Linked DNA regions of Pelodiscus sinensis. Each later gene encodes a partner of the first gene's protein in a complex. Links are inferred from orthologs where the notes say so. Each region holds a gene or a part of one and is shown on either strand. Other genes may lie near its edges.

What was found.
Region 2: the proteins of ABL1 (region 1) and SH3BP1 are in contact, whole or in part, in a crystal structure (PDB 1ABO), measured with the Mus musculus proteins. The link is inferred for Pelodiscus sinensis from reciprocal best matches to the Homo sapiens genes ABL1 and SH3BP1. Residues at the interface, in NP_033724.2 of Mus musculus: Tyr70, Phe72, Ser75, Gly76, Asp77, Thr79, Asn94, Glu98, Trp99, Trp110, Pro112, Asn114, Tyr115; in NP_001303613.1 of Mus musculus: Ala607, Pro608, Thr609, Met610, Pro611, Pro612, Pro613, Leu614, Pro615, Pro616.

Annotation. Positions count from the first base shown.
Region 1 is NC_134732.1:13,783,756-13,798,255, forward strand, and holds the start of ABL1 (tyrosine-protein kinase ABL1), read left to right. Parts: upstream 1-5,987; 5' UTR 5,988-7,597; coding exon 7,598-7,733; intron 7,734-9,166; exon of another isoform or gene 9,167-9,239; coding exon of another isoform or gene 9,240-9,270; intron 9,271-14,500. UniProt on the Homo sapiens protein: Non-receptor tyrosine-protein kinase that plays a role in many key processes linked to cell growth and survival such as cytoskeleton remodeling in response to extracellular stimuli, cell motility and adhesion, receptor endocytosis, autophagy, DNA damage response and apoptosis.
Region 2 is NC_134711.1:92,432,216-92,446,715, reverse strand, and holds the start of SH3BP1 (SH3 domain-binding protein 1), read left to right. Parts: upstream 1-2,886; 5' UTR 2,887-3,163; coding exon 3,164-3,225; intron 3,226-3,273; exon of another isoform or gene 3,274-4,320; intron 4,321-4,896; coding exon 4,897-4,939; intron 4,940-5,893; coding exon 5,894-5,998; intron 5,999-7,435; coding exon 7,436-7,512; intron 7,513-7,857; coding exon 7,858-7,969; intron 7,970-8,158; coding exon 8,159-8,235; intron 8,236-9,186; coding exon 9,187-9,322; intron 9,323-10,287; coding exon 10,288-10,356; intron 10,357-10,618; coding exon 10,619-10,709; intron 10,710-11,224; coding exon 11,225-11,367; intron 11,368-11,455; coding exon 11,456-11,567; intron 11,568-12,012; coding exon 12,013-12,094; intron 12,095-14,500. UniProt on the Homo sapiens protein: GTPase activating protein (GAP) which specifically converts GTP-bound Rho-type GTPases including RAC1 and CDC42 in their inactive GDP-bound form.

The DNA.
Region 1 (14,500 bases):
GCTCAGGTTCAGGAATGAAGGAAACAAGGAGTGTGTGGGGTGTCTTGAGTGGATCTCTTATCAAAATGGCCAATTTTTAGGCTCTGTTTTTAGAGGAAGAAGAAAAGGTGCAATGGTCTTTGCCTGTATGGTGCTTCTGCTATAAGAGGACCTTCCATGCCCCAGTTTGTCTTTCATAAGCCCCGACTTCCTCTCACACTCATATTTAGGTCACACCTACAGAGGCGTAGTGAAGGGGCTGCAGGGGGGGGCAATTGCCCCCGGGCACCATGCTAGGGGGACACCAGGCCGAGGTGAGAGCAAGTGCACGCTGCTCAGGCTCACCTGGCATGGGCGGCAAGTTTATGGCCATCCCCCTGGCCCTGGGCCATCACTGCCATGCACAGCATTCAGTTGGCTTCTCCTTGCCCGTGCACGCTGCGTACGGCAGGGACAGTCCGGAGCCGGGAGGGATGGCCATAGAACTCGCCGCCCATGCCAGCATTGTCAGCTGCCCCTTGCCTGCGCATGCTGTGAAGCATTTCCAGGTGACCGGGGAGACGCCCGGGCGTGACGTGACATCACGGTCTGGGACTTTAAAAGTGCTTGGTGCCGCGTGGTGCCAGCCTAGCTTCTGGTTTGGAGTACGGGGACTTTTGGGGCCTGAGTGCAGACTCCAGGCCCACAAAGTGGAAGACAGAAGGTACGGTATGGTACGGTATGGCAGGGCAGGGGGAAAACTAGGGGAAAGGGGTGGGAGAGGAAGGGGCTTGTGGGGAGGGGAGGGGAGGAGCTTGTGTGGAGGTGGAAGGGAGAGGGAAGATACAAATGGCAAGGGGCCAAGTTCAGACAATGAGGGAAAGGGCAGGAGGGGAGGTGTCAGTGGGAGGGGGGACAGGGTGATGCTGGGAGAGGAGAGGAGAGGGGAAGGGCATTATGGTCTAGAGGGGGAGGGAGAGGTGCTGGGAGAAGGCTTGAAAGGGGTGGGCATGAGAAAGGTGGGGATGGAGCAAGTCGTGTGAGGGCACAGGGGCATGAGAGGAATGGGGGCAGAGAGTGGAGAGGGGGTGGGCATCAGGGAAAAAGAGGGCAAAAGGGGCAGGGGCAGTGAGGGAAGGGGGAGCACCAGGAGGGTGCAGGGCTAAGGGAAGGTGCAGGTGCCAGGGTATTCTGCGGGTGAAGCAGAAGGGCAGACACCTGCAGGGAAGGGACGAGCACCAGAGGCGAGGGGCAGGGCAGGTGTGTAGAGAGAGGTGTTAGAAGAGGGGATGAGGAGGGGTAGCTCACCTGGAGGAGTGGGCACAGGAGGGAGAGAAGGGCTGGTGGAGGGGGAAAGGTCGTAGAAGGGCAGGAGTCAGGCCAGCAAAGGAGAGTGAGGAGTTGGGGGGCAGCAGGCACCAGGGGAGATGATGGAGCAAGGAGAGGAGACATGGCAGCAGACAGAAAAGGTAAAGGTTTAAAAATATTTATTAATAACATGGTATGCTGCCCATGGCCAGTTCGTTTGCGCCCCGCGGTGCAGTTTGGGTTTATGTGGGGATCAACACGTGGCTGGCAAGTGGGAGGCAAAACAAAAAAGTAGTCAGTGTAATGATCTTCTGTTGATGTGTGTTTTAGTAGTTAAATTCTTGGACTGTCATTGCTCATGAAAAGTGCTGTCACATGGGTAGAAATCAGGTAAATGTTGCATTTTATGAATATCAGCAGAGCTGACTTAAATGAGGCCTGTGTGTTGTGTAGTCTTGCCTTAATCTTTGTATTCATGCCTGTCAGTGTGAGAGAAGCTATTTGTATATATTTTCTTGCATATGTAACCACACTTAAGTTGAGGCCCTCAACATGTTCTGTAAGTATCAGTGTAGCCCCTGGGGCTTCCAAAGTTTAGTTGCCCTAGCTCATCCCTGACAAGTTGCCCTACCTCATCCCTCATCAGTCTAACCTGGTCTTAAATATCTCCAGTGATGGAGATGCCGCAATCTCCCTAGGCAATTTATTCCAGTGTTTAACCACCCTGATGGGCAGGAAGTTTTTCCTAATGTCCAACTTAAACCTCCCTTGCTGCAATTTAAGCCCATTGCTTCTCATCCTAACCTCAGAGGCCAAGGAGAACAATTTTTCTTCCTCCTCCTCATGATACTCTTTTAGATACTTGAGAGCTGCTCTCATGTCCCTTTTCGGTCTTCTCTTTTCCAAGGTAAACACAGCCAATTCCTTCAGCCTTGCCTCATAGGTCATGTTCTCTAGAACTTTCATCATTTGTGTTGATCTTCTCTGGACTTTCTCCAGTTTCTCCATGTTTCCTGAAATGTGGCGCCCAGAACTGAACATGATACTTCAGCTGGGGCCTAATGTAGATGGCTCAGTCCCTGCCTAGGGGACATGAGACTGGGCGGGTTAATTTCCAACCTCCTGTTTATTCTTTTCCTAAGCCAGGAGGCTTAGTTCTGATGGGGGCTCTGCAGGAAGGCAGCCTGCACTGATCCCTGCCTGAAACCTTGTGCAGGTGTTAAACAGCTGTCCAGCCCACCCTAGAGGTGACTGCATTTCAGCGTGCCTGAAGCAACACAGCACCAGCAGTGGACAGGAGAATGGCTCCCGGGCATGGCTTGCTCATGACTGCTTCGGTCCCATTGGATGGGCCTCAGCCTCTTTTCTTCCCCTCCCCTGCTTTGCAATGGGGCTGTAGACTCTGGGGGGAGAGGGGTGGAGGCAGGCAGAGGTGTCTCCCTGCAGCAGATGTAGACATGTCTCTGTATTAATCATTCTCTCATTGAAGTGTTTAGCTTTGTAGTGAGTCCTTTTACATATAAACTTTGTATTACGTCTTGGTAGAATAGTCCCTAGGACTAGTGAGGCAGAGACTGTCCCTGTGGGGTGAATGAGGTGGGAATGTAGAAGGCGGAAGGTGAGCACCTCTGGGCAGTTGCAAAGGTTGGAGAGGGGATGGAAGCCAGATCCGAGATCAATGAGCCCTGGGAAGTGGGCCCATTGAAAGGAGACTGGACCTGTGGATGCTTTGAGGGTCAGTAGCAAGGGCCTGCTTTGGGAAGCCCCCTCTTTGGAGGTGAATGTGGCAGCATTGAGACATCACCCAGAAGCAGGCGCCACAGACACTAACTGCAGATTCATGGGACGGCTCTCACAGATCTTGCACATGCATCAGATGATAGATCTGCAGGAGGGGGGGCAGTGGCATAGCGAGGGGGCCGGAGAGGTCAGTTGCCCCTGGGCACCATGCTAGGAAGGCTCCAATTTAATCCCATTCTGCTCCCTCCGTTATCCCTTCAGCTCACGTGCTCCTACTCTGCCTGCCACCGGCAGCTGGAGCCTCCTGCCTGCCTCGCTGCTCCAAGCCCGACCCCTCTTCCATCTCCACCGGCGGGTTAGTGCATGCGGGAGCCCGGCCCCAAACTGTAGTACAAGTTCCCCTCAGCTGTGCACCAGGTTCGGTGCTGTGCCACATGGCGATGGGGGGGGAGGGAGGGGCGCAAATTTTTCCTTTGCCCCCGGGCGCATAACACCCTCACTACGCCTCTGCACACCTATTTATCTGCAGGCACTGTCAGAAATGCACGAGAAGTTAGTTCAAAATCCAGCCCATCTGTTTTAGGTCCGAGTTTTTGTTTCCTTTTGGTTTTAGCATAGGAAGTTTCCACCTGTTAGGTTCCTTGTCAAATAGATGACAATGTGTGAACATGTTAATTGCTGTGAAGCTAAGTAATGAACCCACTGTTGTTGGGCAGGGGCCTCTGACCAGAAGCATCAGCAGGTAAGGGGTTCTTTCCTTTCAGGCGTTCGAATATTTTTCTAAATAGTCAGTAGAGGTCGCCAGTGGTCTATGCAAATCCTGCTAGTTCACTAAATCCACAACTAAATCCTGAAGGCCATTTGCAAAGGACATTTCTGGGTTCACGTACTCTCTTTATTCAATTCCTGAACCAACATATTCCTTTGTATGAGTAGGTTCCTTTGATTCCTACCCTTCCCTATCATTTGCACTGAGAGGGAAATTATCCTAGGCTACCATTTTCAAAGGAGTCTGTCTGAGAGTGTTAGGTGTCCAACTCCCATTAAAATGGGTACCTAACTCCCTTAGGTACAATTGAAATCCCAGCTTTTGTGAGAGGAGGATCCATCACTGCTGGAAAGAAAACCACTGTCTTTTCATGAAGGACCATGAGCCTTCCCTCTGAGCTACCCTAGGGATGGGCAGGCTCATGAGCCTTCATGAGTTTAAAACCTGGAACTGATTGTTTCAGAAACCTGGCAATCTTTAAGCACTGTCGCTGTGTTTGTCCTTCTCTGAAACAGAGATGGAGCAGTTCCCAAGGAGTTGACAATCGAAATGTCTGCTATAGCCAACAACAGGATTTATAGACCCTGCAAACAGCATAGAAAAACAGATGTACTCAGGGGGCTCAGCTGGATGGCTGCATTCAGAGAATGTGGGCAGGTTCCTGAACTCATGGTTTTGGAAAAGAAACATCAGGCTTGCAGCCCATGCTCTGGGAAGAGCAAATAAGCAGCAGTGAGACAAGAGAAATAATCCCCTGCAGGGCTTTCATTGGTACCTCTAAATCAAGTCAGGGAGTAAACCTTGTGTTGCCAGATGCCCAAGGCAAAATTATAGGGAACAATGGGTAGAGTGTGGTAGGATACAGTGGACTTTGTTGGTACATGGTAGACAACATAGATGAGGTTAGCCCCTAAACAGCCATAGAGTATTGTATAGCCAGTTGTAACCAAATGCAAGGTGAAGTTTATGGCTTGTCTACACAGGGAAGTTGTCCTGAAATGAAGTAGAGGGTGAATTTAAAGCATGATAGCTATTCTGGAATAACTCTCTATAGGGGCACTCTTTTTCTTGATATAAAAGTGTGCCTTTCCTGATTTAGCTTAATCTACTTTCAAAGCGGACTAGTTATTTTGGTCATTTTCCCTAGGTAGACAAGTCCTTGGAAAGGGTGTGTAAGATGGGTCAGGTGAGAGATCCAACCCGGGAAGCAACCTGAGGGAGGGTGTGTCTCCTAAATGCATGATGTTGCCAGGACAGAGAGCACAGAGCGAGAACACGTGACCTGAACAACAAACCATCGGGACTGCTTGTGTTTTACTCACAGAAGCTCAAGGTTTTATATAGTTTTGATAGTCTCTAAGGCTATGTCTAGACTACGGAGTTTTTCTGGGATACCACCACATCCAGGGAACACGTCTGCTCTTCCGACATTTTTTTTGGAAGAGCAGACACACTCTTTCGGAAGCCCTGTATTCCACATTTTATGAGGAATAAGGGCTCTTCCAGAAGAGGAGGTTTTCCAAAATTTGACCCCGTGTAGATGGACCTAATTTTGAAAAAGCCTCTTCCGAAAAATCAATCGGAAAAAGGTACGCAAGTTGCAGTGCGCAATTTGTGTACCTTTTTCCGAAAAAAAGCAGCAGTCTAGATGTAGCCTAAGGTGCTACAGGACCACTGGTTGTTTTTAAAGTTACAGACTAACATGGCCACCCCTTTGAGGTGGTGTAATTAGGGCTATGGTGGGCAATCCTGCTTGGTGGGCCTGATACTGTGCAGTGCATCAACATGTCTGCCAGGCCCCCTTTCCTTCCTCTGATCCCTCCCCTTCCCCCTTGGTGTCCCCTTTATTTCCTCCTTCCCCCTCTACCCCATTTCCCTCCTTCCTTCCCCCCTTTCTCCTCCTTCCTTCCTCTCTACCCCATTTCCCTCCTTCCTTCCCCCTTTTTCCTCCTTCCCCCTCTACCCCATTTCCCTCCTTCCTTCCCCCCTTTCTCCTCCTTCCCCCCTACCCCATTTCCCTCCTTCCTTCCCCCCTTTCTCCTCCTTCCCCCTCTACCCCATTTCCCTCCTTCCTTCCCCCCTTTCTCCTCCTCCCCCCTCTGTCTCCCCTTTATTACCCCCTTCCTTTTCCCCCTCTCCTCTCCCCCTATTCCCTCGCCCCGCCCCCTCCAAGCCCCGCCCCCGCCCGCTGCGTGCCCCGCCCCTCGCAGCCTCGCTCGGGCGCTAGCAGGTTCCTGTCATGGCCGCCGTGTGCCGCGGGCTCCTCTCGCCCTGAGCGCGCCGGGAGCGGACCCCCTCGCCCCGCCCGGTGCCGGTGAGAGCCCCGCGGCGACAAGCCGGCAGGAGGCGGCGGCCGGCCGGGGATGTGACCGGCCGGGGGGAGCCGGGGACTCGCAGCCGCCCCCCGGGGTGGGGGGAATCGCCCCCGTCACCCGCCTGACCCGTCAGTGGCCCCGCTTCCCTGGCGGGCTTGTTCCCTGCCCCGCTGGGGCCCCCCCGACCGGGGCTTAATCCCTTCCCCGCCCCCGCCCACGGGACTTTCCCCCTCCTCGGAGTAGGCCTTAACACTCCCCCCCCCCCCCCGCTGTGTGTCCTCTTCCCTCACCGGGGGTGTTGGATCGTCCCTCCCCCCCACCAGAGCGAGCTTCATCCCCTTTGTCTCCTTTTGCTCCTTCTCCTCCACCCCAGACTGGGGTTCGACACCCCCTCCGGGGTTTCTGTCCCTTGTCCTATTGGAATCCTTGGCCCTTGGGGGCCATTCAGGGCCTGTGGGGATTAGGGTTCTTGGCCTCAGACTCTCTTGCCAAGCCTTAGGAGCCAGAGCCGTACTACATAATTCACCAAGTAGGCCTTTTGCAGTGCTAGGCTCCCAGTTGGGATGAAGCCAGCCCCGTCACCCCAACTTGACCTTTTCTGGCTGCTGTGCAGAAACCTTCCTCCTGGAGAGCATCACTGGACTAGCGCCTCTTTCCTGCCACCAGCATCGACTGGACCAAGTAGAATGGCATTTGTATTTTCATGAACAATTAGGAACAAGCCCGGGTTGGCTTCTCTGCCTTATAAGCAGCAAGCTGGTGCAGATGGGTAGTTCATTACTTGTATTGTCACAATGATTGTTATTGTTTCTGCTCCAAAATGATCCCGAAGTGCCCATTCACTTTGTTCAGAGCATTGGAGAGGTAGCAGAAAACTTATCAGAGAAGGCAAACCTATTGGTCTTCAATGATTGCAAGTTCCTCTGAAATATCCCCCTTACTCAAAGGTCATTATGGATCCTCAAAGACTTTGAACTGTTTAATTGGAAATCTAAAATGACTTTGACACAGTTGATTCTCTCTCACTTTAATAATACTTGAAGCCAAATCACTGGCTTTTTGGCCTTTATTAACTAAGTGCTATGCAAAAGAAAAGGAAAAAAAGAAATCCTGACACTGATTGCAATGGGAATGACTATTTCCTGCCCTGGGTGGCCCTATATGTGGTTTTCTTATTGGTAAGATAAAGTAGCTCCCACTTACTCAGTGGAAGACTCATTACAAACAAGAAACTTTGGTAACACTTGTAACTGCTAAATAAATGGAACATCTTATAACAGAGCTTTGCATAAAGGCACCAGAAGAATCTTGTTGCAGTTTCTAAAGTGTTGAAAGAATCTGTGCACCTGACTGAACTCTGCTTAATGTGAGCTGTTTGCTGATGTGATAAACACAACGAACGCACACACCTAAAATATTTTACTTGCAAACTCTCAGCCAACCTGGAAGATCAGGGATCTCAGTCCTTACACTGCTTGTTCTGGGGAAGATTGCCTATTGTTACTTTATGGGGCAGCAGCCTGGAAAAGTTCTTGGGGACCAGAGAAGGCCAAGTCTGCCTGCCCTGCATTTTATCAAAGGAGCAGGGAAGAAAGAATCATCTAGGCATGGAGGCCCACACTGCAATGTCTTCGTGGAACATGGTAGGTGTTTTGATTTGTGGTCCTTTTGCTTTTAGTTAGCATATTAGGATACAATATTAATTTATTAAATTGTATGAAATGGTTTTAAAAAGAAGGGTTTTAGCCTTTGCGTTTTCCCTTTTCTGCTCCCTAAGGTTTCTGGTGACCTCTCTGTATGGTCAGCTATTAAGGATTTTTTTTTGTCATGGTTAGATTGCCATTTCCCAGGTTTGTGAAACCCCAGTGGGATTTCTTGTATAGCTAATAGCAAGGAAAGCAACTTCTTCATAATGTTGCTTAGGACAGATATTTTAAAAATGTTTTTGGTTTTAGGTTTCAAATTTTTGAATCTTTTGAATTTTTTTAGTAAAGGATTTGGATGATTTGACTCTAGAATGTCATAATGAACCTTTTTGCATTTATTTGAAGGGCAACTGAAATATATCACACTTCCGTTGAAACACTTGGATTTACTATACTAGTAACACCTTAGATAAAGAGAATTGTTTTGATTTTACATTGTGTAGTTGACAACTTTTGTGGATGCTCAGTTTTTCTGGGCTTCAAGGTAGCCAGTGAGGTCTCAGTCCTTTATTATGACGCTCTTGGAGTGCTAGCTTGTGCAAAGCATCTTGCCGGACTGGAAGCAAGTACCACCACCACCTTACGTTTATGTCAGGGTGACCAGATGTCTTGATTTTATAGGGACAGTCTCTGCATTTGTTTTTTCCCCCCCTTATAGGGACCCTCCCCGTCCCCCCATTGCTTGTCCCAATTTTTCACACTCGCTGTCTAGTCACCCTAGTTTGTGGGGGTCTTGAACCGGTAATGGGGGACAGAGAAATATTATTTTTATCCCTCCCCCCAAAAAGAAAACAAGATAGTGAGCTTTTGTGGCTGGTTAAATGTTTTTTTACTGTACAGTTGATTAGATTTCAAGCTATGTTTTCCCATTAGAAGAGAGAGACAGAAAGAAAAATATGTTGCTGAAATGTTTTTACTAAATCTCTATCCTGCACATTTGAATTCAGAAGATCTTCTGAGACAGCATGGTACTAACTAAGCTAGAAAATATGATTCTGACAATGGTTATTTAGCATTTTTATGCTACTCAGAGTAACTTTGTTCAAGCATGAGACAGATCAATATTTGCCATTTTTGTACTTCAGATAACTCTGAAATATTTGCTTTCTCTGGGAACACAGTTAAATAGCAGGTAAAAAAGTTTCTCAAAATAAATGTGCCCGAGGCTTATTTTGTAAGGACATTTAGTTTGCGAAACTTCTTCACTGTGAATTTCCCAAGGCCACAAGATCCAGAAAATTCAATATCATTTTTAGGATTATTTACAGATAGATGCTGTGGAAATAGTAAGTGTGTTAAAATATTAAAATCATCAATGATTAAAAATGATTTGTATTTCTCCCCTCTTCCCATACAATGTGTCTATGCAGTGATTGTTTGAAAAGTGAACCTAATTCTTGGGAAGCTGGATGATAAAGCTACAACAGCTCTGATATCAGTGGCATGTTCCCATTGCAGAAACACTCCAAACCAAGTACTTTATTTTTTTTAATCAAATACACATATGTGTCCCATCTCTGTTGCCTCTCTGCTTCTCTAGACAGAGCTTCAAGCTCAGATGGCATGGAGCAAGAAACAAAGCACTAAACTGCAAGTAGCACAGTATTCCAATCATGTTTGGTGTTTGATCTGAGAGACAAGGCAGAAATCCTGAATTTTGATCATTTAACAAGAATAGATCAAAAGATAACTTTTTGTCAGGAAGACATGAGGACAGAAGAACCCAGTGCGTTTACAAGAAAAAGTATTGTCTATAATGGCAATACTCCATATGTCCATAAGAAACCTCAATGTCTTGATTTTAAAAAAAGTACGTATCTTGAAAGGAAACCTCAAAATTCTTACATTGGTTAAGGGGCCTGCAAAAGTTCAGTCTTGCTTATCCGTATGAGAAAAGCATCTTCCCTTATAATACCTCTGACTGTGTCTACACTGGCACGATCTTGCGCAAATCGGACGCTCTTGCACGAAAACTTGCTGCCTGTGTACACTGGCTGCGTGTTCTTGCGCAAGTAAACTGGCGTTCTAATTTATGAAATCAGGGCTTCTTGCACCAGAACTCTGACGCTCCCATTCAGGAATAAGTCCTTTTGCGCAACTGTTCTTGCGCATGAGGCCAGTGTAGACAGGCAACATGAATTTCTTGCGCAAGAAAGCCCTATGGTTAAAATGGCCATCAGAGCTTTCTTGTGCAAGAGAGCATCTACACTGGCATGGATGCTCTTGCGCAAAAGCACATGCCAGTGTAGACGCTTTCTTCTGGAAGAGTTTTTGTACAAGAACTCTTCCGCAAAAGAGTTCTTGTGCAAGAAGCTTCCAGTGTAGATGTAGCCTCTGAGTATATGAAGAGGCTCTCAGTAGCATAGTAGTATTTAAGACTGCTGCTGTTTCTACAAAAAAAACAAGGAGACCTGTGTCCTCTTAGAGACTAACAGAATTATTAGGGCATAAGCTTTCATGGGTAAAGCCCACTTCATCTGATGAATTGGTGCCCCAGGACTCCTCATTTTTGCAGATACAAACTAACACAGCTACCCCCCCTGAATCTTTTTCACTTTGCTGTGTCTAGTTACTCATTCCTTTTTTTTTGTTTTGGGGGAGAGGGGGGAGAACTGGGCATAAAACAGCTCCTGGCTGAAACCTTGCCTACAAAATCTTTTCTTGGGAATGAATTATATATAACTTTAAAAAAATAGTCTAGCTGTTTAGGTTGTAGAGAGGGGAAAAATAGTTTAGGTGCTCCCCATCTCTCTCAAATTTGGTATCAGTTTTCTTGCTGTGTAAAAGAAAATAGTCCATAATCTGTCTGTACTGCCTTTTTTGGTATATTGTGAGAGAATGATTCATTATTTCAAATCCTACCAGTAAAAGATTGTGGATCATATTGTATAAAAACATTGAGATCCTTTTTAGGATTTTAAAATAAAATTGTTTGATATAATTTCTCTTTGGTATTTTCATTACATGGTTTCCTGTAAGATCTAAATCAGTGTATACATGTTCTCTACCATATAGTGTGTGCACCATCTGGTCTCAGAAAGTTAAGCGTCTCATCTTCTATTGTATAAACACATTTAAAAAGAACCTGAAGGCTGCGTTACCCAAGGTAAGGTCTCAAACAAGGGACCTATGTCTTAGTCGATAGCTGAGAGAGGAGCAGTTGGAGTGGCTTATCAGCCTCAGCAAAGTATGTTTAAAAGAATATTATATTTGGCCTCTGCACAAAGGTGACCTACTGAACAATTTTTAATATTCTGTTTATAAATCTCTTAGCAAAGTCCATGTCAGTCTATGCGTTTTAAAAATGATTCTGTCAACCTTAAAGATACAAAGAACAGAGTACCATTGAGTGGATATTATGTATGGCACATTGGTCACTCTTCCATCAAGTAGTGCCTTATTTAATAAGCTATCAAATTGATTTAAGCAGAACTACTTTCAGTGCTAAGTTCTATTTAATGTAAGACTGACAGAGTCATGTCTACAGGAATGCTTCACAACGTTTAAAATCTCAAATGCACTGTTAGTTACTTAGCAATGTGATTAAAGTATAAGTACTGTTGGATATCAACAATGTACATCAAAACAACTTTAATAAGAGCAATTCCATTGTTTAGCTATTGTTCATTATATAATGCCAATAATGTCTTAGATGCTCTTGATGTTTAAAAGAGCAAGTGATCAGACCTTTGGCCCATCTAAAGGTCATCCATTCTACTGGAACGATACAAAAGGGACATTACATCTCTCTTAAATAGGCAGCTGAAGCTTTGTCCATGGTGGGGGACTTCTCAGCTGGTATACAGCCACCATAGCTTTTAAGAGGCACGCAATAAAAATGGAATGACACGTGGCTTATTTACTTATCTTATGCATGTAAGACAGTTGAATATAATACAGCCATTTTATATTAAATACAAATTACATTTCACGGAATGCTACAGAACTCATGTCAGGAAGTGCAAAATTGAAGTTTTCATAATAACTCTGACTTGTTCTTTTTGCACACATGGAGCCTTTGTTTACCCTTGGTCATCAGCTGCTCAGTTCCTTTACAAATGAACTGAAGTCCAAGTGCATACCTAAGAACAGAATTAGGTTTGCTGGATGTTAATATGTAGATTTGGGGTAGTAATAAAAAAAACCATATGTCCGATGTGTGGCATTTAGCCTTCTTTATCAAGAGAGATTTAACCTTTTCATTGTTTGACTTCAGTGTTAGTATAGGAGTATTAATATTTTAACTAGTATAAATTTCTGGATTTAATTCCCTTTGTTTTTTCCATAGGCTAACACTATATACGTTCTTTATTGGTAAATGCTACAATACAAAGAGAAACTTCATTTTTATTAGGATCTTTACACCTTGCCCAGAAACTTACATTGAACAAAAAACCCTGATGGTCCGGCACTCCTGATGGTCCGGCACCATCAGGAACCTGAAAGTGCTCCGGGCAGCCGGACCATTGGAGCTGCTCTGCCCCCAGCTTCCCAGATTCAGCCGCTGCTAAAACTGACCAGCGGCTGAATCGGGGAAGCTGGGGGCAGAGCAGCTGGAGTGCTGCTGGGTAGGTACCCTAGCGCTGCCCCTCGGGGCTGCGGGACCAACCCGGCAGCACCCCAGCTGTCCCCTTTTCAGCCGCTGCTGAAACTGATCAGCGGCTGACTCCAGGAAGCCTGAGGCAGAACTGCTCTGCCCCGGCTTCCTGGAGTCAGCCGCTGGTCAGTTTCAGCAGCAGCTAACTTGGGTACACCTGGGACAGAGTGGCTGGGGTGCTGTGGGATTGGTCCAGTAGCGCCGCTCTTCGGCGCTGTGGGACCAACCCGGCAGCCCCCCAGCTGCTCTGCCCCAGGCGTCCCCAAGAGCAGCTGGGGTGCTGCCGGGTTGGTCTCGCTGCGCCAAGGGTCGGCGCTACTGCACCAACCCGGCAGCACCCTAGCTGCTCTGCTGCAGGTGTCCCGATTCAGCCGCTACTGAAACTGACAGCAGCGGCTGAATCAGGGACGCCTGGGGCAGAGCCGGACTATCGGAAGGGGGGGCTATGAGGGATCTGGCCCCAGACTCCTCATAGCCCCCCCTTCCGATAGTCCGGCATATCTGATAATCCGGCACCCCCTGGGTCCTAAAGGTGCCGGCTTATTGGAATTTTACTGTATACTGCAGACCGTGGTCTCCAGCATTTTTAACTACAAGATCACTTTTTTAATTTAAATGCAATTTAAGATCTATCCCAGACCCAAACACCCTTGCCCCACTTCCCTCATGCTGCTTCTTTGAGGCCATATCCCTGCTCTGCTCTTTCTTGGAGGCCTCACCCTGCTCACTCCATCTCCCTTCCTCCCCGAATCTCATTCGCTTTCACCAGGCTGGGGTAACTGGTTGGGGTGCAGGAGGTTGGGGTGCAGGCTCTGCTCTTCAGCCAAGGAGCTTGGCATGTGGGAGGGGCTCTGGGCTTAGCCCAGGTTGGGAGATTGGGGTGCAAGCTCTGGGAAGGAGTTTGGGTGCAGGGAGACTCATGTCTGGGGCAGGAAGTTCAGGGCTGGGACAGGAGTTCAGGAAGCAGGCTATGGCTGGGCACCATTTAACCATGAGATGGCTTCTGGGTGGTGGAGCAGTGGGGTTAAGGCAGGCTTACTCCTGACCCTGCACCGCTCCTGAAAGCAAGTAGCATGTACTGCAAAGACCCCATGACGCCATGTGCTGTTCCTCATCTACAGGCACTGAGCCCACAGCTTCTACTGGCCATGGTTCTCTGTTATTGATCAATGGAGCTGCAGGAGTGGTGTCTGCAGGCAAGGACAACATGTGGCAACCTCCTGCTCTACCTTTCTCAGGGGCTGCAGGGACATGCCAACCACTTCCAAGAGCAGAAATTACCATAGAGATAATTAATCCAACTGCAACAGGTTAGGCATTTTAGAACTCACTACTCAAAGAGTTAAATTTAAGCGTAAGAACAAAATGAAAATTATGAAATGCACAGACCAGTCAAAACCCAAAACTAACAAACTTTGTAAGCTGTAAAAGTAGTAACAAGCATCCCCCATGTATGTGCTGGGATGGGAGATGAGTGAGGGACACTGTGTGTTTGTGAGAATGTCAGAGGGAGACACATTGTGTGAGTGACAGATTTGCACTGCCAAGCTCCCTTCATCCCCTTCTCTCTCTGTGGAGATAGGGTAAAAGGAGTGGGGGGAGGAGGAACATCTTGACATCCGTGCATCCCGTCTCCCTCCCGCACTCTGCACAGCATGACAGTGGGTGGAGGGGCAACTAAAGTGCCAGCACTTTGATAGCTTCCTGGCCAAACCAGTTAGGATCACATGTCAGAGGCTCCAAGATCTACGCGTAGATCCTGATCTACTGGTTGGTGACCACTGCTGTAGATGGTTCCCATGCACTTCTGTAGCTTAAGAAGTCTCTTAGCAGCATGAAACCTTCTAGACTGATGAGATACTGTGGTACTTGATTTCCAACTGCTATTGAGAAGTCCTGCTGTGCAGTTATTCTGCATGGTTGTGCTGCATGAACTGCCTTTACTGCAAGGTTCATTTGGAAGCAATTGAAACTAAATGGGGGAGAGGGGATGTTGGGACCTTCCCAAAGAAGCCCTGAATATGAGACTATCTCTTCTGTTCTTCACCTCATTGTATGTGTATAAAGAAGACCGTCTTAGTAGTTAAGAATTAAACTTGGGCTCATG
Region 2 (14,500 bases), on another chromosome or scaffold:
ATCATTTTTTTGTAACTGTGTAACTGAAATTTTGAGCGGTTATATGTTTTCATGGCGGGGGAGGTGGCTCAAACAGATCTCTGCGCTCTCCTTCCCCCGCTTCCTCTGATACAGAGGTAACAGCGTAGGGTGGGGGGCATTGCAGCTCCACGGGAGCTGGTACATGTATGGAGCTGGCTCCCCACATGTACAGCTCCTGCCTGCCCCCGTGCGTTGCTGCCTCTCATACAAAGGCCGCAGCATGGAGGGGGGCCTTTGTGTAGAACTGTGAAGGTTAATTGATCAGCCCAAGTTCATCAGTTAAATGTGTACATGATCATATCCCTAATTCAATCCTGCCCCATTGCTTAACAGAGCACCCACAGCTAGGTTTTTTGTTTCTACGGGAGAGGCACATTCACACACGCCTTGGTGCACACACACATTTATTTTGCACGTGGGTGGAGAAGTTTGGTGGGAACGCTGGTGCGGAGTACCATATAAGGCCTCAGGAGCACTACTTATTTTAGTCCTAGCCCATGCATGGGGATGGTCAGCTGGGTCACTTTTTCCTGCCTCTCTCCCTCCTTGACAATTCTGCAGTGTGTTTCTTTATACGTGCACATGCACTCTGACCACTTCCTGTCCCAGCTTCTGAGCTCTCGCACTGGCTGTGCAGGCTAGCTGCAGCACTCCCTGGCCCTCCACCACTCTCTGGACAGGCTGCTGCTGGCTGTGGGGGGTTGGGGATCATCTCACAAAAGGGAAAGAAAATCCTGGTCTAACAGATTATCTCCTTCGAGCATGCCAGTAAAATCAACAGGAGGGTAAGACCTGGGCCCTGTTGCCACATGTCCCAGAGCTCTGCTGCTACTGCTGCTGCAGGCTGCGGCTTGGCTCTGCAGAGGAAGGCACCAAGGGGGTTGCAAATCTCACAGCTAAGCTCTGAGCTGCCCTCTGTTCTTGGAGCAGCGCATTTGTGACACTATGTTCCCATGCCATTGGTTTGCAGAAGACGTGCGAGTGGGAGGTGCTGCAGTGCACCTTACAGCAACAAGGGTGGTGAACCCACTGCCACAGCCTCTCTCCAGGGTGCACATGCAACACCTAGGGACCCAGCATAAGCCCGCAGCACTGTGGGGGAGGAGGGAGTCCCCTTGCTGCAATGGCTGGGGTGCAGCGCTGGGATGGGGGGTCGCAGGACCGGAATAGCGGCAGGAGCTGCAGATGAGATACACTGACAGCTATTGGGGGAGATCATCCGAGACTGCCATTTATTATTGTAAGAGCCCCTAGAGGCCAGCATGTCTGGTGCCCTGTTGTGCAAGGCGCTGTACAAACAGAAAGTGACTGTCCTGCCTTATGAGGAGTGAGGTAGATGGGCAGCACTGGGGAGCAGTTGTGGCGGCAATAGAAGGGACTGTTGCTGGCCAAGACTGAGGTGTGTTGGCAGTGCTGCAAGGGCTGCACAGAAATAGCAGCAAGTTCAGGGTAGGAGGGTGATGCACAAAGGCCTGTGGGCGCAGTGTGGGGCTGGACTGGACTAGCAGGAAGCGCAGCAGATCGGGAGCAGAGCCGGGTGCAGAAGTGGTGTGCTGGTTTACTGGTAGTTTCAGGGGAACCGATGGTTTGGTTTGAACCAAATTTGAAAATTGCAATAACAGAAAAAAAATCAGCAAATGGAAGTAAATCCAGTCAGGCCGAAGAGAGCACGCTGCTGGACCCAAACCGTTTTGGTGCAGGCTGTTAGCCAGCTTCACAGAACAGGAGAAGAAAGTGCCCTCCCTATAAAAAAAAAGGCTGAAACTTGTAACTGTTAGCAGTTAGGGCATTTATCTGGCTCCCTCGCTTCCCAGGTTTATCTCCCCACTCCCCTTCCTGATGTGGAGAAGAGATTTGAATGTGGGTCTCTCATTAGCTTGGGAGAAGATCCTACCCACCAGATTAGAGAGTCATCCTCCCTTGGTTTTGCTGAGGGGTAGTCATTGTCCTTATGGATGGCCATGAATTGCCTCAATTAATAACAAGGGCTAGTCATTGAGTGGGGGTGGAGGGAACCATGTGACTGACTCCAGTGCAGAGGTTAGGGCACATGCCTAGGCAATAGGAGAAGCCAAGTCCCTGCTCCATTGGCTAATTATTTACACAACGTGGAACAGCTTCAGTAGGAGCTGAGACTACCCCGTATTGCCTCTTGCTCTGGAGCTGGGCTGTTCCTTGTAGGGTGAGAGCACTAAGTTTGAATCTTTTCTTCACACCAGGCCGAGGGGGGTCTGAACCTCCCACAAGGGAGCACCTTGGCGACAGGGGGGCTAACAGAGGCCGGGGTTCCCCATTTTACGATGAGCACTTCAGTGTCAAAAAAACAAGGGCAGACCCTGGTTAGTGCATCTGTGTCAAATTCACCAGTGGGTTTGAGTGGACTGGAGCTGTACTTTGTGGTGATGTGAATCAGCTCATCTGCCCCAAAGCCAGGCAGGAAAGGCACGGGCAGAGTGGGCCGGGTATTCCAGGTCAGGTACAGCAGGGGGGCTGAGGCTCATGACTGAGGTGCATTGGCAGAGCTGTGAGAAGCCAGCATGGCACCTGCCTTCTCCATCTCTGCCTCTCGCTAGTGGAATGGATTTGCAGGGTCCCCGCATGAGTCTGCCAAGGCGTATGGAAGGCAGAGTAGGCACCGGTGGAAACAGCGGGTGGGAAACGAGAGGGAGAGTGTGTGGGCCCCATGCTCTGGTTAGGCTGTGGCGGGTGCTTGTTCTGCCTTGTTACATGTTTGCTGTAATAATATTTCCCCTTTAAGGCTTGGCTGAAGTTATTTATACTTGCGGGGTGGTGACAGGAACAGAGAGCAGCACCAGGAGCCCTGACTGCTCTTACCTGCTTGGCGATGACGGGGTGGGGGTGAGGGTGGGACTCAGACCAAAGAGGAAACAGAGGAGAGAAGGAGAAGGAAAGAGAAGTGAGAGAAGGAGAAAAGGGAGGCAGGAAACCCAAGAGTGAGGGAAGCGGGGCAGGGAGGAGAGAAAAGGGCGGGAGTCCGAAGCCAAGTCAGAGTGAAGAGAAAGAGGGGGAGAGGAGAGAGGGAAGTAGAGAGAAGCGGGCTGTCTCCTCCCATGACAAGTGCAGCTGGCTGGCGCTGAGTGGGGGGGGTGGCCGGTGCTGTGCTCTCCTCTCCGCTCCCAAGATGATGAAGAGGCAGTTTAATCGGATGCGGCAGCAGCTCTCCTATCCCAGCAACACAGGACGGTAAGGACCCAGCCTTAAGCCTTTCATCCTCCAGCTGGTGGGGCTGACGGGAGGGCAGGAAGCTGCACTGGAGAGCATTTCACAACCCCTCCCCTCCAGCCTTTCAGCGGCACATGGGCCAGAGACCCAGCGCTGCCAGGAGCCAGGGCAGGAGCTGTGAGGACCACCCAGGCCCTGGGTGGAGTGATCATGGGAGGGGCTGGGGGAGCTGAGAGCAGCCTGTTTGGGGAAGCTTTAGCTAAACCCTAGGAGGACTTGGTTAACTCAGACTTCCCCTAGCCCTCTTGGCTGGGGGAGTTGGTGGGACACAGCAATGCTGCTCCGTAGTGACTCCCGCTGGTCCTTTAAAAAGCCAGGTTAACAAGCAGGGGCTGGCTCCACTTGTCCTGCTGGACTGAGCAGTGGGGCCCCTCTGTCCTGACTGGCCCTGGACGCTCAGCTGCGACGGTGTGACTCAGACCCATGTCAATTAGGACAGGTGTTGACCCTAATCCGGACAGGTGAGGCAGGGAGGGCCTGTCACATTGTGCCCCTCTGTGGGGAAGCAGGGCAGTCACAATCTGGGGCCAGGGAAGTGGGGACGTCAGCAGCAGAGGGAATCCTCCGGCCCCATTGGGGGAAGAGAGGAAGATCAATGCAGGAGGAGAAACAAGACTAAAGGCACATTCCCTGCCAGGGTTTCCCTCCCTCCTGGGCCCATCTGGAGCTGAATCCTACACACGGTGGCAGGGGAGCTTCCTCTTGTGTCCGTCAGGGTCTCAGAAAAGCCTGCCTGAGGAGGTGAGGGGTGGCGGTAGGCTAGTGAGAGAGGAGGGGGCTCTGGGCCTATGCGCTGCTCTCCTTTCCTCTCTGGCTCTCTAACTACATTTCCATTCCGGCCGCTCCCCAGCTCAGGGCCACCTCTGCTTTATTGTTTTTCTCTCGTCTAATTGTTCCCCTTGCAAAACCTTGGGAGCCCTGGCAGGGCTGGGCTCGCCGGTCTCTGCTCCAACCCACACACATATTTTGTTGTTTTAATGTCAGGCAGTTGAGAATGGCTTCAACCCACCTCACTGTTTGCCTGAGGCCAGGGAAGTGGGTCTTTCACTGGGAGTGGTAGGTATTTCTGCAGCTGGCTCTTTCCTCCTTCCTCTTGCCTTGCCCCAAAGCAGACCCCTCCCTCAATTCCCCCTCACCTCCGTAAGAACTAGGGCAGTGGCAGGGCCTCTCTACTCCCTACCTCCTTTGCACTGATCAGGAGATTTTAGGGTCCAAGATCTGCCCAAGTGCCTAGTGATTTTCAGTGCACAACCCCAAGGTGTCTTGAAGGGCCCTGGTTATTAGAGGGCAGGAACTCACCATTCCCTGTCAATCAAGTGTCTTTTGTGAGGTGCCCCAAATCACTAGGTGCTTCTGAAAATTTTGGCCTAGATCCCTTATTTAGCAGAGAAGGAACCTGCATGAAGTCTCCCAGTGCTGTTACTGCCCCACGCTCCCTTGGCTCGCAGGCTGGGAGCCATTTTCATGCTTCACATCCTCTGTCCATGGGCTCACCTGCAAGCTCCTCTTAACCCGAGACATGATGACCCGGAACCAGAGCAATGGGGTTTGGTGCCCTCCCTCCCGAAGAGCCTGGTTGGAGGCCACCAAATGTAATGAGTCTCTCGCTCTCCCTCCCACTCTTTTCCCCAGAGCCCAAGAAACAGCTGAGCTCCTGACTGAAGACTTGCTGCAGGTGAGGCCTGGGTTCAGTCCACAGGCATGTGTGGGCCTGTGCCTGCATGTGGGGCAAACATCTGGTGTGCCTGCGTGTGAAATACTCTCTCTCTCTCTCTCTGTGTTTACCTAAGTCACAGGGCAGCCTCAGCCTGGATTGTTCTGTATCCTGGAACGATGCCTACGTGCAACAGTGGGGGCCAGACCTCTGACAAGCCTCCCTGATTGCATCAGGGGGAGACAGAGTAAGCCTCAAGCCTGAGCAAGGCAGCCCAATGCTTGGTGGGCCTTGTCTCCCATGCCAGCTCTGCCACTGAGGCTTTCTCTGTACTATGTCCTGAGCCATGTTAGGGAACCCTAGTATCACTCAGCCTTGGCCACACTGGAATGTGGGTTGGTTTTGCCTGTGGAGACCAGACAAAACTGTTATAACCTCATAAGGAAACTGACGTAGCTCTGTCTGGTCTCCACAGGCAAATCAAGCAGTGGTAGAACAGGGGCACTATGCAAACGGGCTGTGCTTGTAATGTAGGTGTACAGCTGATGGACAGGTGGGATTGAACCTTGGTCCTTAGGGGAAAAAGCCATGAGCCTCTACTACTTGAGCTAAAAGCCATCTAGCACTTAGCTAAGGCTTTAAAGCAGATGTCTCTCTCCCATACATAGGCAAGGCCTGACAGTCCATCTTCTCTGGCAGTGGGGTGGGACAGAGAGACAATGCCTCATCAGGCCCCCACAAGACACTAGAAGAACGTGGGTGGGTGTCAATAGGCAGAGAGGGTCCCACTGTGCCCTCCACATTGGAGGAAAGGAAGCTGTCTTTCCTCAACGGGCAGCTGTCTCCACAGCTAGGAAACCCCAGCAGAGAGACCCCACGGCAGCCCTAGAACCTGGTACACTGAGGAGTGGCTGAGGATGGAAAGCTTTCCCCCAACCCCTCCCCCCATTTCCCAGTCTCTCTCCCTCTCTCTAGATTGAGCAGCGAATCGAGCCAGCCAAGCGGGCCGCGCACAATGTGTCCAAGAGGCTCCAGGCATGCCTGCAGGGGCAGTGCGGTTCAGAGATGGACAAACGTGTGGTAAGCGCCTCTGCCCGCTGCTCCCCGCTAGCTGTGCTGCCTCGGCAGCCTGTACAGGAAGTGGCTGTCAGCTCCTCCCACAGCAGTCTGCCCCAGCCGCTCTAGGAGCAACTCTGTTGGATGCAAGATGCTTCTACGGTGCAAAGCGCCACCCGAGACTTCCTGCGTGTTGCAGCTTCACATCTATTCCCCTGCACCTTGGAGGGTCTGGTCTGTGCTTTGGAGAGGTTGGGTGGGGGGTGCGATGGGGCAGTGGAGTGCTGAGCTTTCCCAGCTAGCTCTCTGCTTCTGCTAGAGCCTGGGGGTGCGCCTGGCTCTTACCGGGGGCCAGGAGTGGAATAGAGAACGTTTCTCCCCAAAGTCACTGTTCTGATCTGCTCCCCCATTGGGACACAGCACTTAGGGGGCCTGAGTTTGGGAAGCTGCATGTGCAGAGCACTATATTGCACAACCTTTCACCTCAGGGTCACCTATTCCTGTCTGAGATTAACACACACAATAGTAAAAACTTAAACAACAACAAATAGTCTGGTAGCACTTTATAGACTAACAAAACATGTAGCTGGTCATCTGAAGAAGTGGGCTGTGCCCACAAAAGCTCATGATACCACCTTCATGTTTTGTTAGTCTTTAAAGTGCTACCAGACTATTTGTAGTTTTTTAAGTTTATCCTGTTACAGAATAACTCGGCTACCCCCTAAAGCTTTTGAACACACAATAGTGATCAGTCTTCTTGTGCACTTGGCACTACAGCCAAGCTGGCCATTGCATTCCAGGGAGTAACTTGGCTACCCTCATCTATGGAAACTGCATTGGGGCTCAGCGTGTCTTCTCGGTGACTGTGCTTTGACCGCCCATGTAGTGTGCCTGTCCTAGCGTGAAGATGTCCTGATCAATGTTCCCTCTAATCTTTTCCATCCATTTGTGGATTTTTTCCACCCGTGTGCAGAATAAATGTTGTTATGTGCACGGAGGCATGCGTGGCCGTGCACCACCAGGAGAAACAAAGAATCTAGCTGTGGGCGCTCTGCTAATCAGCTGAGTGGTGTTGGAATCTCTCCCGAGTGGCCACACAGGTGCTCAGCTTACAGGGAACTCTGGTCTAATCACACTCCAGTAAAGGGAATTTCTTCCTCCATGACCCAGCCCCCTCCACTCTAGCATTCTAGGATGAGGCTCACAGCTCCAGACTGGATGCTGAAGGAGGACTTTGCACTCCAGGGCCCTTCATTGGGGAGATGGGTTGGTGAGAAAGAGGCAGGATGGATCATACCCCTCGTGTCTCTCCCCTTGGCTTCAGCTTGGCTGGCCCTGCCCTCAGCAGGGTGTGGTGCTGAAGGTGTCAGTCACACGTTGGTGGGGAAGGGGCTCGTTGGGGGGGAAGGGGCTCTGCTTATGGTTTCCTTCCCCCCTTTCTCTCTCCTCGGCTCTGTGCAGAAGAAGCTGCCCTTGATGGCTCTGTCCATCACTATGGCTGAGAGCTTCAAAGAACTAGACACCGATTCCAGCCTCGGGTAAGTGCCCCCAGGGAAGAGACAAAGGAGCCCTGAAAAGTATCAGTCCATACTGTACACCAGGGCACCGGTCCCAGGGTTCATGCTCCCAGGCTGAGCCTCTGAGCTCTCGCATCGAGGTTCACGCTGCCCAGCCGCACGGCAGCCTCCTGGTGACAGGATTCCCACTCTGCCTCTGAGCGCACACACTGGGGGATTTGTGCTCTCGACCTGTGGGTGCAGCAGGATCTGGGAACTGGTTCCTGGGATTGGCAGGGCCTACCTCCCTGGTGCAGAACGCTGGGGCGGGGGTGGGGGGCACAGTATTTTTGAGCCTGCTGTGATTCTCCCCTTCTATGCCTGCAGAAGAGCTCTAGAGATGAGCTGCTTCATACAAAGCATGCTGGCCAAGGTCCTGGCTGAGTTTGAAATCACCTTGGAGAGGGACGTTCTACAACCTCTGAATAAACTGAGTGAGGTAGCCCTGAGCACACTCCGCCTTTCCTTTGCTTTCCCCCTTCCCTTCTTTGCTCACTCTCCCTCCCTGCTTGTGCTCTCTCCACTCCCTTCTCCCCACTCTCCCATTGTGATTGCACAAAATGCAGCCTTCACGCAGCCAGGCCTGGCGCATGGGTGGGGTGTGTAACAATCTCCCAATCTCCACTAGGAGGAGCTGCCTGTCATCCTGAAGCACAAGAAGAATCTTCAGAAGCTGATCTTGGACTGGAACTCCATGAAGAGCAGGTATTGAGCCGGGGGGAGGGTGGTGAGTGGCAGCAGAGACCCAGATGATTGCCCCCTTGAGAGTGGGGATGGGGGAGGATGCTGACAGCTGCACTCTCAGAGCAGGGAGGGTCTATATCCCGGACATGCAAGGATGACTCCAGATGCCATGTGCACTCATAGAATCATAGAACACTAGAACTGGAAAGGACCTCAAGACATCATCAAGTCCAGTCCCCTGCTCTCACAGCAGGACCAAGCACCATCTAGACCATCCCTGATAGATGTCTGTCCAACATGCTCTTAGCTAAGAATTCCTCCTTCCCCCTCCCCCCAAGGCCCCAAAAGGGATGAATGTGAAGCACCTTTGAATTCTTTGTTCCCTTCCTTCCCCTTCACACCATGATTCCCCTGGGCAATTTTTAGGGAGTGAACTTGACACTCTGAAAGCCTTGTTTCGAGTGTTAAAACTGAGTAAAAAGGGCTTCCAACGACCCTTTTCCTAAGCACTGATCCACAGGGAAAACACAGAGCTTTCTTGGATTAAGGCCCTTCCTGTTAAAGGCAGACCAGGCAGTTGCCTATGGCAGCAAAATCCTCAATGCCTACTCGTGTGGGTGGTGTAGGGATTATTTGCCTGCATGCCCACGGCCCCTAGGACAGGTCCTAGTTCCAGGAGAAGTGTGGGGGAGGGAGGGAGTTTCTCTATGTTATGTGCTTTGTAACTCTGAATGAGCAAATCCTCTGCCTGGGGCAGGAATGGTGCCATGGAGGGTATAACCCACAAGCCAACGCTCTGTCAAGGCGGGAGAGAAGGACAGCCCTTCTGCTTCTAGGCTCATCTACCTATCCGCCAGAGTTTTGATGTGGATGGAGGGTCTGTGCCTATCTGTGTACAGTGTCAGCGCCCCTAGTGTTGAATGCTGTCAGGTTACAAGTGTGTCAGCCCAATTCTTCTTTTATAACCCAAAGGCTGAACCAAGCTGTCAAGAGCTCCAGTAACAGCGCTGGCCCTGGCCCTGGCCCTGGGGGGTCCTCTGCTGCCATTAAACTGGAGAACCTGAAGGATGAGGAAGAGGAGGTGAAGCGAAGGGTGGAGCAGTGTAAGGCGAGTGGAAAGCGAATCTGCACTCTTTGGGGAGGGGAAGAGATGACGCAAAGAAGGGGAAAGGAGGCCAGGTCTGGGATCATTCTGCCAGCTGCGTACCAATCCACTTGACTCCAATGGAGATGTCCTGGAAGGCCCCGGTAGCCAATCACTAGTTACAGTCTACAGCTCTGTCTAGAGTGAGAAGGTTGGTCCAAATGCAGCCCATCCCAGTAGCTTGTTGGCCTCAGTAAGATGGCTGTGTCCCAGATTCCTGAGGGGATAGACAGCCGGCAGACTCCAGTACCAGCCCCAGGCTCTGGTGTAACAGGTTTAAAGCAGCAGTGTGGTAGTCAGAGTGTAAAGCCACTGTGGGAGAGCTTGATAGGGTGCTTACAGACACAGGCCTGGCTCTCAGCAGATCTGAATTCAGCTCCCAGCTCTGCCACAGACTCCTTGTGGGACCTTGGGTAAGTCATGTCAGCTCTTTGGGCCTCTGTTCCCTGGAGATGACAGCCCTGCCGTCCTCCCTGCGTGTGTCTGTCCTGTCTACCCAGACAACGAGCTCTTCCGAGCAAGCAAGGGCTGTCTTGTGCAGCACCCAGCGTAACAGCACCCACCCCAACCCTAATACCAAATCAGGAACGTAGGGACTCATTTCCTGGGGGGGGCTGAAGGGAGAATGCAAATGCTGGCTCAAGTAACCCCAAATCTAATGAGCCGGACTCTGCTCCTCTGGGCTGCTGTCTTTGCCTCCCCTCCAATCGCCATTAAGATTCCAGGCTGCCACTTGTGATTCCCCCTCCCCTACCCCACACCTCTTGGTGTAGCCTGACAGGTGATCTGGCTATGGGAGCGCTGTCTGTGTGGGAGGAGTGTGTGTGTGTGTGGTGGGGGGGTGGTTAAAGAGGAGGTCTGCGGGGGAGAGTCCCTTCCTTGTGGTGGTGCTGAAGAGAAGGTTATTGTGTGCTGTATTTCCTCTCCAGGACGAGTACATGGCTGACCTCTATCACTTCTCCACCAAGGAGGACACCTATGCTAACTACTTCATCAAAGTAAGTCCCTTCCCTGCATGCTGTTCCCTCTGCCCATCTCCTTCCCGTTGCGTGCCGAGTCCACTACATCTCCATCTTGCGCTGGCATCCTCCCAGTCCCATGATCCCACCAACCCACCACTGCTGGTGAAAGAGGCGTCTCCCTACAGCTCTCACTCCGTCCTCACCACTCTCCTTTGCACTGCACGTCCTGCCCGAAAGCATCGGGCGGTGTCTCTGAGGTGCCGAGTAAAGCTGGGTTTCTCTGTGGTCTGTCTGGCAGCTGCTGGAAATCCAAGCTCAGTACCATCGGAAGTCTCTGGAATCCCTGGACACCGTCTTGGCAGAGCTAAAGGAGACCCATGGCCAGGCAGGTGAGTAGGAGGAGCCGGGCTGGGGGAGGCAGGAGATTTTGTGGGTGGCAGAGCAAGTAGCTACACACACGGTAGATTCACTCCACTCCTTCCTCAGGGTCGCTCTAAGCTCCCACTGAGCCTGCTTGCTGGGGAGTTCTCCTCCTCTTCTCCTTACCCTGGGTTTATACACACACAGCAGGGGCAGAGGGGCCGGTGTTGTGCTCCACACTGACCCCTGCTGACGTATCCCAACCCTTGCTGGAGAGACCAAAGCTAAGAATGTGAGATTCCCTCCACTCACTGTCTGCCACCTCCCAGCGGGGACTGTGGATCAGAGGGCAATTTACAGCCAGTTGCGGTGAAGGCGGTTTTGTGATATGGATCCCCGTTCCCGCTAGGAGATGACCTCATATCCCTCCACTCATTTCACATGGGGCTGGCTGGAGGAGCACTGATCCCTCTTCAGCCTGACTAGGCGAGAGACTCCAGTGGGGGGGTGTCCTCCAACCCTCCATTTCTCTGCTCCGTTCCAGAGTCCCCTTTCCCCCTGGATACACCGGTGTTGGGATATTATGGGGTGTCGTTGGAGACGCACCTGAGGACTTTGGATCGGGAGATTGCCCTCCCCATAGAAGCCTGTGTCATGATGTTGCTGGCGTCAGGCATGAGGGAAGAGGTAGGTGCCGCTTGCTGCCCAACTCCTCCCCCCCACCCCCCGGCCAGTCTGTCCAGCCCTCACACTCTCTCTCGCTTGTTTCCTCTAGGGACTTTTCAGGCTGGCAGCAGGGGCCTCGGTGCTTAGGAAGCTGAAGTGCAGCTTGGCCAGTGGCTCCAACGCACTGGAGGAATTCTATTCTGACCCACACGCTGTTGCAGGTAGGTGCTGGAGGCCCAGGGTAGGGGCACTGGAGACATTGTCTGGACAAGCGACAGCCCCAGAAGTGTGGCTTTGTCTCTAAAACAGTGGTTCTCAAATTGTGGGTGGGCTCGTGAGATGATTATGGGGAGGGTGCAAGCAGTCAGCCCCTGCACACGAGGGGCCTCTGACCATCGGCTCCTGCCCACAAGGGGGCTCTGGCACAGCCATGTGTAGGGCTGACGGCCGGAATTCTTCAGAGAGGGCAGCTAGAGGACAGCAGCTGCTGGCTGAGAGCCCAGCTCTGAAGGCGGCACTGCCCCCAGCAGCTGTGAAGAAATTAAGGTGGCATGGCATGAAGGGCTCATCGCTGCCAGAAATAATTTCAAAACAGGTCCCAGCAATAAAAAAAAAACATAGTTTGAAAACCCTGCTCTAAATCATGACCCTTTGCCTCTATCTCAGGTGCACTGAAATCCTACTTGCGAGAGCTGCCCCAGCCCTTGATGACCTTTGAACTCTATGAGGACTGGTTTAAAGTAGCCTGGTAAGAGAGAACTAGAGAAAGGGGCATTCTTAGGCAGGCTAAAATCATCAAAAAGGACCTTTCTGAGTATGGATTCTTCAGCAGGGGGGTCAAACATGGGGCCCCCAGGCTAGATCTGGCCCACATGATGTATTGAGAGCGTTCTGCCCAGAAGCACTGGTGACTGCATTGATCACCAGCATCTCTGAGACTGGGCAGCATGCACTTGTCCATTCACATGACTGCCAGGAAGAGTTCATCTGAAGCCCTCCTCCAACACAAAGAGGGGTTGTGAATCAACCCTGGGAGTTTGGACTGAGTGGGTGGAGGGCTTTTGCTGAACAGTGTTGTGTTTGTGCATGTAGCGAGGGAAGCAGTCACTGAGAGCAGGATGTTTAGACAGTCTCCCCTAGGGAGAAGCCTGGGGAGAGGTTTTAGGGTCAGGGGGCAAACTGAAGGAGTGTTCTTGGTACTGTGAGCAAAAGGTGGTATTTCCAACTATGTGAGTTCTTCTGCAGTTTGAGGCACAGGATTTTGTACTTCCTTCATTGTAATTAAACAAAACTACATAAAAATACCTGACTGCCACCAATTTCTGCTCTCCACTGGACCGTCCACCAGGACCTCAAACTTTGATTAGCCTCCTGGGGTTATGTGAGGAGTGGGATCCGGTTTCCAAGGAGAGAGCATGTGAGCCGGTATTTCTGTGGAATCAAGATGGAACAAAACATGGAAAAGGCTTGCAGTAATCAAAAATAGCCAGCAGCGTTTAAAACAAGCCCTAAAGCGGGGGTGGAGACTTCCCAAGAGGCATTAGGACAAGAGCTGAAGGTTTCCCAGAAAGGGCTGAGAGACAACTTGCAGGCCAAGATGAGATCCCTGTTGGAGCAGCAGCTATGAAGTGCCTGGGCAGTTTGGCAAAGCCAGTTGGAATGGTGAAACAGATTGATGAGGTGACCAACAACTGGACTGCCATAGGCAAACCAGTGGAGACTAAGCAAGCTTTAACCAACTGGGAATCTGCTGAGATGAACTGCAGTGCGGTCTTAAGGAGCTGACAATTCAGGTGCAGAGGAAATCAAAGGGTTGCTGACCACAGAGGAAAGCCGATGCCTGGATTAAGAACTGAGCCAGCTAGAGGATGTGGGTAAGACTGGATATTTACTAGTTTTCTACTTTTTTTGTAATCCACAGCAGCCCAAATGGGAGAGGTTGGTCTGTCCCAGTGTAGATGAGGCAAACCACAGTATCTTTGAGGGAAAAGCTCCCTTGGAAGCGTCTATGATTCAACTCTACGGTATAGCACCGATGAACAGCTGGGAGGAAGGACAGGAAGGGGCATTACTCACAGCCCACATGTGTGGCCCAGCTCTGATTGGGCTGCAGATCTTACCACCGAAAAATAGACTGTCTTATCCAGATCTGATACAAGCTCTTGACATCTGGTCTGGAGCTAGCCCTCAACCTGAGCTAGCCATCAACCTGAGCAGGCCAGGGCCCAACCAAGAGCTAAAGCAGAGGGAAAGAAGAAACTCCATCTGAACTGGCGGAGATGTGCGTTCATGGCATATCCAGATAACACCGGGGCCTTCCAGGATATGAAAATGGGCCAATTTATAGATCCTCAGTGGGACTTGGACTTGCAGAGGAGGATCAGTGAAAAGAGGCCAAAGATACACTGAGAGGCTGGAGGACCTGGCCGTGGAACTAGAATCTTTTCTTGCAGACATTCACCAGACAAGGAATAAAGCAGCTGCTAGTGAGGAAGAGGGAAGCTCTGCATCTGATGTGTAGGATGAAAGAGGGGATTTTAATCTGGTTCATAGCTATATTGAATGATGAGAGAGAAACTGATATATTTGGTTTGGAAAAAAAGAGAAATGGACACACATGCAAACATTAAAGGAAATGGTTCCGTTAAATGCTGGCATGGTGCCTAAATGTCAGGCTGGCCAACAGACTACCACGAGTGGCTAATGAAAGTCTCTCTCTCTCTCTCTTCTAGTTTGGGAAATGAGCTGAAAGGGCAAAGCTTGGTGGAAGTACCAGGATCAGCACCTGCTATTTTTGTTTAGATGTCAGCATTTGAACAATAATCATGGGAGTTTGACTACAGTGGGATCAGCACAATGCACAGCAGTGATTGCCACTGACTCAGGCATGCCACTGAACCAGACATGCTAACACATTTAGGGAAGCAGGGTTCCAAAACTGAACCATCTAATGGGTTTCAAGTAGAGACAGTGACTGGGGCGCGGGCATGTGTCCCAAACCGAGTTTGAAAAAGAGACCGCTGGAATCCGAGCAGGAAGTCTGGGTGGCTGACACAGTGCATGAGTTCATAATTGGCTTGCATTTCATTGTGGCTAATACCGGTGGGATCAGGGCCAGGAAAGGTGACTTACAGAGTCAGTCGGGGAAATTCTC